Linked DNA regions of Caenorhabditis elegans. The protein of the gene in region 1 purifies or fractionates together with the protein of each later gene. This does not show direct contact. Each region holds a gene or a part of one and is shown in the gene's direction. Other genes may lie near its edges.

Region 1 (2,730 bases):
CACTTGCATACATATAATTTAAAATGTCGTGCCAAATTTCAGTTGAAATTTTTTTCAATTCAATTTTAATTAGTGGTTTTTCTTTGTTTCAGTTCTACGATGTCACTTGTCATGCTCACGCCATGTAACATTTGGAAGTAGTATTTTGGACAAAAAAAAAGTTTTTTTTTTGGCAACTATGTCGAATTGAAAACGTCCATAACTGCCTCTTCCCCCTGTCTGTTTTTGTGCGTGGTGGTGTGTTCACTTGTATAAGTAGTTGTGTGTGATGGAAGTATTAGCCAGCATGGCGACTATTGTATTGAGAAACTGGTATACTGTACATTGTTTTACAATAGACTTCTTCAGACCTCAGGCGATTTTCAATTTTATTCCGGTTTTTCGAATGCCCAATGTCCAACTAACTTAAGGCTCTGACAAGATGTCCTCAATCATCTTACATTTTCTTTTTGTATTTTTTTTCCTATATTTTTGCACTCTAACAGACCAGGCCTCGATCGGTTTAATGGTACCCTTTTCCGAGTCCTTTCACCATCTGGACGTTTTTTACACAGATCCGACCAGACGCCCTCGATGAATGGATTGGTCTGTTCGCGAAATGGACATCGCCCCGTCTTCCTGTTCCCCTTTTTTTCCTTCACCCGATTTCCAAACCGGCGATTGGACGTCGTTGCCCAATATTCCTTACATCTCTGTCCAGACTGGCTGAACAGACACAACTTTGTCAGTCTAATTCGTGGCGACAGGAAAGACTCAGTCAGGTGGCGAGCATTTTTTTTTTGGCAAGTTGGTCACGTTTTTGATCAGTAAAAACTGATGATCAGAAAAAAGCTTTTAGATTCATCACAAGTTATATGTTTTCATTGCACTTTATTTTCATTTATACTATAGAGCCTGATAATTGAAATTTATTTGATCTGAATTTTTTCACACCAATCTTTTTTCTTTTTTCTTCTCACAGTATTTTCTTCACATACTTGTTTCTAACATTTTCCCACTCAGAATTTTCAAGATAGGGCCGCCGCTGCCAGCAAAAATGTTTTTTCTCTTTCATCGATCGTCTCAAAGATTGCTTCCTGCTCCATCCATGTCAACAATTCTGCTTTTCCACCCCCCCCCCCCCCCCCTCCTTCGCCAAGTTTCGATCTACCTACCATAGGAAACACTTTTTTCTGCTGATTCATTTTTATTTCTCGTCCAACACATTGTCTTCACATCTTTACATCAAAACTTTCCTTTTTTCCTATTTCTCTTCCCTCACACTTGAATGTTCCTTGATGAAATCTCACAAACCAAAAAAAAAATCGATAGAATTTTCAATTCCATTTCTTTTTTTCAATTCTTTTATGACGCAAAAACTTATACTTAGGATAATCTCTGACCGATTTTTCATACAGTCTACCACGAGCAGCAAATTTTTGAACTTCAGTTTGGTTTTGATTTTTTTTTAATTGCCAGAATATTTGCCGTCCATGTAAAAGATTGACTACGGCCAGTAGTTTAATTGTTAATAATCATTTTTATGGTGCTAAAATTACCAAAAAATCTTCCAGTTTTATGTTTCAATTGTGTTTGAAATATTTATATTCCAACATTGTAGGGGTTTGAACATGCGATAATGCTTTAATTTTCTTGATAAGTGACGCTCACTTTTTGACTCAAAATATAAAATTCCAAAATTGTTCAAAAACTTTTATATAATATATTTGAACAATTTAGCATCATAGAAATGGGTTATAATCATTTTTGTCATTGGCCATACGTCACCATTAACAATTTTAGGCGCTGTTCTGTTTTTGTTTTGAGTTCTTATACCAATACCCGTACAGATTACAGTAATCTCTATATTCCTTCTATATTCCTTCAACAAAACACGTGTTTTTCCTGCAATCAGCCGACCCGGCAACCGAAAAATATTATGCATTGAAAGGAATAGCGGGGAAAAAAGGCAGAGCATGAAGACGAGGAGCACACAAAAAAAGACGAAGGAAGAAAAAAAATGCGAGAGGGAGAGGCTTGCCAACCAAACCCACGTCGTCTAGTCTGGGAGTGTGAAAAAAAAAATTTTCGCCCGCCCGCCGCCGTCGCAGCCCGCTGTCAGTTGAGAACCACCAGCGGCCACTCGACACCGGCACCGACGACACCCGATGCTCCAAAACGCGCATCATTTTCATATTGATCACAAATTCCGAGAGAGAAGGAATGTTTTAACCAAAAACAACAGATTCGGATTACTTCTCCCATCGAACGTTCTGTATAAATATTGTTTGGAAACACGTGGGCAGCCGATTTTTAACAAATCTTCTGTTTCTCTCAATATGATTGATTGATTGAGTTAATTAATCAAGGTCATCAATTTTTCAAATTTTCAAAATTCGAAATTTGAAACCTAAAATCCACTTTTTCTCTTTTTTTCCACTGTTCCGTGTCGCAGCGGTCAAAGTTAACTTTTTGAGTTGTCATTCTTTATTGCATATATAAGCCGTTTCTTTCAATTCATTTGGTTGATTAAGGTACATTTAAAACCAATAGTTAACTAAAAAATGATCCAAATTTGTTACCCAACGACTGAAAAATACCTCAATTAAAGATAATCTCAAAAAATCAACTTCCGACCAACTGCCGAGATTTTAGCGAAACTTAGTTCTTTTTCGAAATTTTGAAACGACATTAAAACAATTTTTAAATTTTTTTAAAAGTTTTATCACGAAACTTGAACACATTTTTGGG
Region 2 (6,131 bases), on another chromosome or scaffold:
CCGAAAGTTAACGCGTTTTTGATTTTTGAATAAGTTTTCTGGACTTTCCATCGAGTATAACTCAAATCTAGGTTACATGACAAATTTGGTAACCACCATCTTTCAGGCCATGGCTATCAAAGGTCAATCAGGATAAAGAATCGGCGACTGTAGACTACTCGTGCTTCTAGATTTGGAACTACAGTGTGCTCTCCGTAAATTAGTTATAAGAGAAAATTCAAAATTACCATTTTATTATTTTTCACCTTTAACCTGCTGATCACCATACTTTTGTTTGTTGCGAACTTTCAAAAACCAAAAAGAAATCAAAAGATGATATTGGAGAATCAACGTCATGTAGTCCTACATTCTCCTTCCAAACCACCCTCACTTTTTGCATATTTAAATCCCGAATTAATGTCTGATTTGTTTTTGTTTGTAATCGTCATTTACTACAACCGGCTCACAATTCATAGTACAAAAGGAAAACGATCCAACGTCTCTTTTTGTACAGTTTTATCAGACTTTTTTTCAACAATGGCAAAAGTTGAAAAGCGGGTAAAATTTCATCAGTTTTTTTTTCCGTTGGTTTGCCACTGAATTCGTTGATAAAGTTAGTTAGTTGGTTGTAGTTGGTTGCGTCAAAACGTATTTCGTTATTCAAAAATGAAAACAAGAGGGGCTTAAAAATGCAGTTTCTCAGCAACGTCCTCGAGCTTTTAAATTTTAAAACGTCGACAAAAATCAAACTTTCCCGAAACTGCTTCTGGCAGGCAGCCAATATTTTTTATCTTCAAAAGCTTCTAGCCTACCTGTCAAAGTTAGGCATTTTGTGTGAGGTTCTCATTAAAAATTAATCTCTAAATAATTAATTATCGTACAAACTGCACGATTTTTTTCAAATCCAAGATTTTTTCACAGTTTGGGGCTACAAGCCAGTATTTGCAAGAAGTTTAACCTATTATTTCTTGAATAAATTATCGGCCTCGATGAAACATCATTAAAGCTTTCCAGCTCTACCAACAAGGTGCTTTAATTAAACAACATAAATTCAGACTACAACTTCATTCATTCACTTCATTTTCATTGAATATTTTCATTACTTCATTCAGACAACGTACTGGTTTTCTAACAAACGGGATCTGGAACATTGAGTTTTCTAGAACCTACCTTCACGCTTGAAAAACCGAGTTTCTGGTGTGAACCCGTTCTTTTCTGCCAGACAATGTTTCCCAAACAAATTCTTACAATTCACCTTTACCTCCTCCCAGATGTCGCCTTAAAAATATTCAACATGCACCCGTGAATGCACTCATTGAATTGGCTATATTTGCGCACTTTCCGCCAAAGTTCCAAGATCACTTCCGAGCAAATAGGTGCTAGCGAAACATTCTGGTTTTTGTCTTCTACGATGCTTCATCCATGATTTCTTATAAAGACCAACAGTTACTATCAAGTTTCTTTCAGTTACTGCGATTACAGTTTATATCCGAGAGAACAGTAAGAAGTGAGTCTAGAAATATTTTACACCTGAAACTTTTGGATCAGTTGGATATTCCCACTGAAACATTGCGTGCCAGGAATGCCTCAACTTATATTCTATTAAAATAATTGTTATCATTTTGACTGCAAAGATTATTTAAGGACCGGTTTCCAGCCTCCTATTCTGAAAATGGAAATGACGCATTCACGTCACACGTGACTTGAATATTACACTGCAACACCACGTGCTTCTTTTGTAGTTCTTGGAATGTATTTTTAACAATGTGAACCATAATTTAAAAGTTTTGACAAGTGACCAGTTTGGGGAATTTGAGATGATAAAGTTGAATCACAAATTAGAATGTTGATAGATTAAAGAACTGTAGGAAACGTTTATGATGTTTACTAGCCGATTTTGTGGTTTCAAGGTTTATTTTTTAAGAATGCTCATATTATTTTTGTGTATAGTGCTACAATCGTTTCACAATTGTTTTTTTGTCATTTTAGACTAGTCTAGACATACATTTTAACGGCCGAACTATACTTCTACACTATGAAATTTTGATCTAAAAAACGTAAAATTAATTTTTGCGATAACGAGAACCGTAAATTTGCTCCAAGAGCGTTAATTTTTATTTCCGGCTTTTCATGATTTTCGTATTGTTAACCTTCTTGGGATATGAATTCTTTGACGATGTTTATTTTTATTTTGATCAGGCTGAACGGAAGAACTTTCAATTGTTTTTTTTAACACTAAAAGTTTAAAATACTAGTGTATTGCCCACTCTTAAAGCCCGTAGAAAAAACAGAAGCTCTCGATTCGGTAAAAGCTTTATACAGACGCGAAAACGCACTGAAAATGTTCAGATCGAAATAAAGTCAGAGACTACTCAAACTCTTTTTCCTTCTAAAACTCAAAAGTTCATAGATCTTAAAATAATAGAAAGTCATGTCGCTTTCTACAGAAACTTCTAGAAATGACAGTCAACATCCTCTTCTTACCTATCAACAAACAAGAGCGTTTGATCTCATTGTTCGGTGAATCTACAAGAATTTGCATAAAATCAAGTTGAAAGATTAAATATCATGGCAAGTCATCAGATTGGTTGATTAACTGACGCTCTCCTAATCTCTGCGTCTCTTCGATTCCAGCGCTCTCTGTAAATCTCATTCAGGTCATCATCGAATCTTGATATGTTCTGATGATAACTGTATTCATATTTTGCATTCTTCATTTCTTTCCTCTGCTCACAAATATATATTCTTTACAGTCATTTCCAGATAAGCAGATAGATAATTTCTCACCTCGAAACCCCCAATGCAGAAGCCTTCTGAAACAGGTCAAATGGGGGCGTGGCCTATTTGGAAATTTGAATTTATTAGGGAGTCACGTGTCGCTTGTCTTATCTGTTTCCTTCTTCTCATCCCACCCACAATGTACGATTTTGTATAAATATTCTCCTGATCGAAACCTGATTTCTTGTCTATCAGAGACTTTTCTGTACTATTCACAATATTTTTTCATCTGGAAATTCTGTCCAGAACTTTTCTTCCAACTCTAATTTTTAGTATTTGACTACAGTTCCACATTGGATCTCGCTCAAAGACATGTCCTTCAAAACTCATATCAAGTTTGTCGTCGTCACTATTATCTACTTTGCTCATATCTACTTTCGACGCCTTCCCATTACGCTTTTGCCACTGATTAGGGAGGAAATTGTGCTCACAAGTGATGATATTGGTAAGTTGTATTTTATTTTGTGTTTATTTCGGAAAATAATTTCAACCAAAGCCTGAGCCTAAACTTAGAATCCATTTTTGTACCTACGTGAAAGGCTTACAAGAAAATTTCAGAAAATTTCAACTTTGCCCATTAACTGAAGATCTTGTAGTTTTATTAAGTATACGAATCTGTAGTGTGATCTTCAAAGGTCTGAATCAGTTGTTTACATGGCAACCGTATCACTTGTTTGAACTGACTGCTGACACAACTTTCAATAAAACGGGATTTTTCAATTTGATAATTCATCACATGACCATACGATAATAAATTAAATATTCGATGATCAAATCTTGAAGGAAGCTAGTGATAAAGAATCACGTATTCACAATCAATTCAGCTTTGAACTTTGATAGCTAATATTGGATGGTTGTGAGAAAGTCAGCATCTTACAAAAAATACTTGATCTAAACTAATTTCAAGTTTTCAGGAATTCTCGTTTCTTCACATGCTCTTCTTTACACGATAGGACGTCTGTTATTTGGAATGGCATCGGATAGATATTCAAAAGTTGCTCTTTTACTACTGGGACTTGTCACTTGTGCAGCATGCTCAGTTGGTTTAGCATTTTCAAATCACTTATGGCAAATGTTGATTGCAATGATGCTTCTCGGAATTGTACAAGGCGCTGGATGGGTTCCGGCCACTCTACTAGTACAATCGGTGAGTTGATTTACAAAAATTAGATCTCCACAACTTTTATATTTTCAGTGGTACTCCAAGTCTACCTACGGAACAATGTTCTCAATTCTCGCTTGTGGTTCTACATTCGCTGGAATTCTTCAGCCATTTTCAAAGAAATTTTACTGGCGTAATGTAGAGCTGTATACTGGAGCAGGAATGCTTGTTTTCTCGATAGTATGCTTTATTGTGCTCCGCGAGGATAATGTGTCTCCGAAGCAGACAGAAGATGATGAGGAACCAAATCCAGAGAAAAAGAAGAAAGGAGGATTGAGAACTATTGTAGGATCGATTGTGATTTGGCATATATCTTTTGTTTACTTGTTCACCATGGAGGTAAGTGTGAAGAAAATATTTCACTGGGTCGAGCTGGCATACTTGTGGACAATCTTATTTTGTAATATCGTTATCTTTTAATCAACATTTATTTATTTCAGATGCGTACAATCTGTGAAACATGGGTTCAACTTTTCCTGACCGACTCCAAAATTTCCCCTGATGCTTTCCAAATTACCTATGAAATTGGTGGACTGGTGGGAACAATGGCATCTGGAATTGTAATTGATTTGGCAACTCGTAAATTTGATGTGGATGCAACCAGACGTGTGATTGCTGTATCGTACACCTGCCTGATGATGTTCTCAGCAGCCGGAATTTTTGAGTTTGCGGTGAGTTTTATTTGGATTAGGAATTTTTTATTTAGTATTAACTATTCAAAAATAATCAAATTTCACCCAGTTGTTTTAGGAATTGAGCTCAATCTTTGGATTCTTAGCTGGAATGTTTGTTAATGGATCGATTAATGTTTGGTGCATGATTGCTTCACAAGCTGGGTTCTCGAAAATTCAAGGAACTGTCAGTGCATTCATTTCGTTTATTGCCAGCTGTAAGTTTTTTTATAAAAATTCTTGTCCAATGTCAAATTCTTTCCCCTGGTGCATTATAATTTTCAAAAATCTTCTTTTTTTAATAATCTCAATTTTAATCATTAATATTTTCAGCTGGATCAATGCTTGCTGGAACCCCTCTAGCATACCTCATCAGCGTTTTTGGCTGGAAAGTCTTTCTCTACATCTTCTCAGTTCAACTCGTCATCGTCCTCTTTGTATCTTCATTCCGTGTACGTCTTCGTATGGATACTACAGAAAATGAAGCATCTAAAAATGAAATAGATGATGACGAAAGTTCAGGAGTTTGCAGTACAGTTGTAGATTCTCAAAGAAATTTGACAAGTCTCAATAAGAAAACTAGAATTTCAATGTTATTAGCCCTTTACGCGACGAAAAAAATTAAACCATTTAGAGATGTCTTAGCTTCTAATAAGGTTTAATTTTTGACATTCACTAGATTTTTAATTGTACATATAGATTTTTAATTGTACATATATGCAATTTTTGAAATTATTACTCACAACAAAAAACAAATTAATTTTGTTTGGAATCTCACTAATTTTCATATACGGGAAGATTTTTCTTTTTTTTTCAATTGAATACCCACTTCCATTGTCATAGCTTAACCACGAGTCAGAGTATTATCATGATTTTATTGATAATTGTCAGTTTGACAATAAATTCATATTTTATATGTACATTTTTCATGCTTTATCAAAATTGTTCTGTTTGTTTCGAACCATTTAATAAACAATTTCTATGATTTTTCTGTTTTTGGAAAAAAGAGCATGAGTAGAGCATTTTACCTTTTTCGTATGTTGTATTTTAATAATAGCAAAGTAATAGCAATTTTTTAAGTGTCAACTATAAAATTGTTGTTATATTTATTGATGAAGTTTTACCGTGACGAACTGCATTTTTTGAATTGTTTTATGAAATTAAAGCAAATAAAATTATGGCCTTTCAATTTTCCGTGCACGTGAACTTTTGTTAACTTTATCCACGTTGAAATCTAGTACATCATGCTAAGACATGCTATATAACAAGCTTGAAATCATAAATCTACTCATTGCGAATTCAATCGCTCAACTAACTTGCACAATCAACTCTACTAACACCATGGTCAAGAAGATCACTGTCTACACTGCTTTTGGACAATTCCTCGAGATGGTCGAGCGTCAAGCCATGCAGAGAAGGTAACAAGTTCCAGTGGTTCTTCCGGATGCCCGGATTCAGGCTCAGTCAGGGACTGCTTTGAATAAGGTTTTTTGAATTTTTAAGCTTAGCCTTGAAAATCAAGGAACGCATTTTAGGTTCAA

What was found. Proteins that work in one complex are often made in the same cells at the same time.
Region 2: the proteins of W01H2.2 (region 1) and F47B8.10 fractionate together in Caenorhabditis elegans (co-fractionation; one large-scale study listed by BioGRID). This does not show direct contact.

What each region holds. Positions count from the first base shown.
Region 1 is NC_003284.9:4,217,728-4,220,457, reverse strand, and holds W01H2.2 (uncharacterized protein), read left to right. Parts: upstream 1-1,999; coding exon 2,000-2,179; downstream 2,180-2,730.
Region 2 is NC_003283.11:14,340,128-14,346,258, forward strand, and holds F47B8.10 (Major facilitator superfamily (MFS) profile domain-containing protein), read left to right. Parts: upstream 1-1,844; 5' UTR 1,845-3,069; coding exon 3,070-3,202; intron 3,203-3,671; coding exon 3,672-3,904; intron 3,905-3,952; coding exon 3,953-4,258; intron 4,259-4,359; coding exon 4,360-4,590; intron 4,591-4,669; coding exon 4,670-4,808; intron 4,809-4,923; coding exon 4,924-5,252; 3' UTR 5,253-5,577; downstream 5,578-6,131.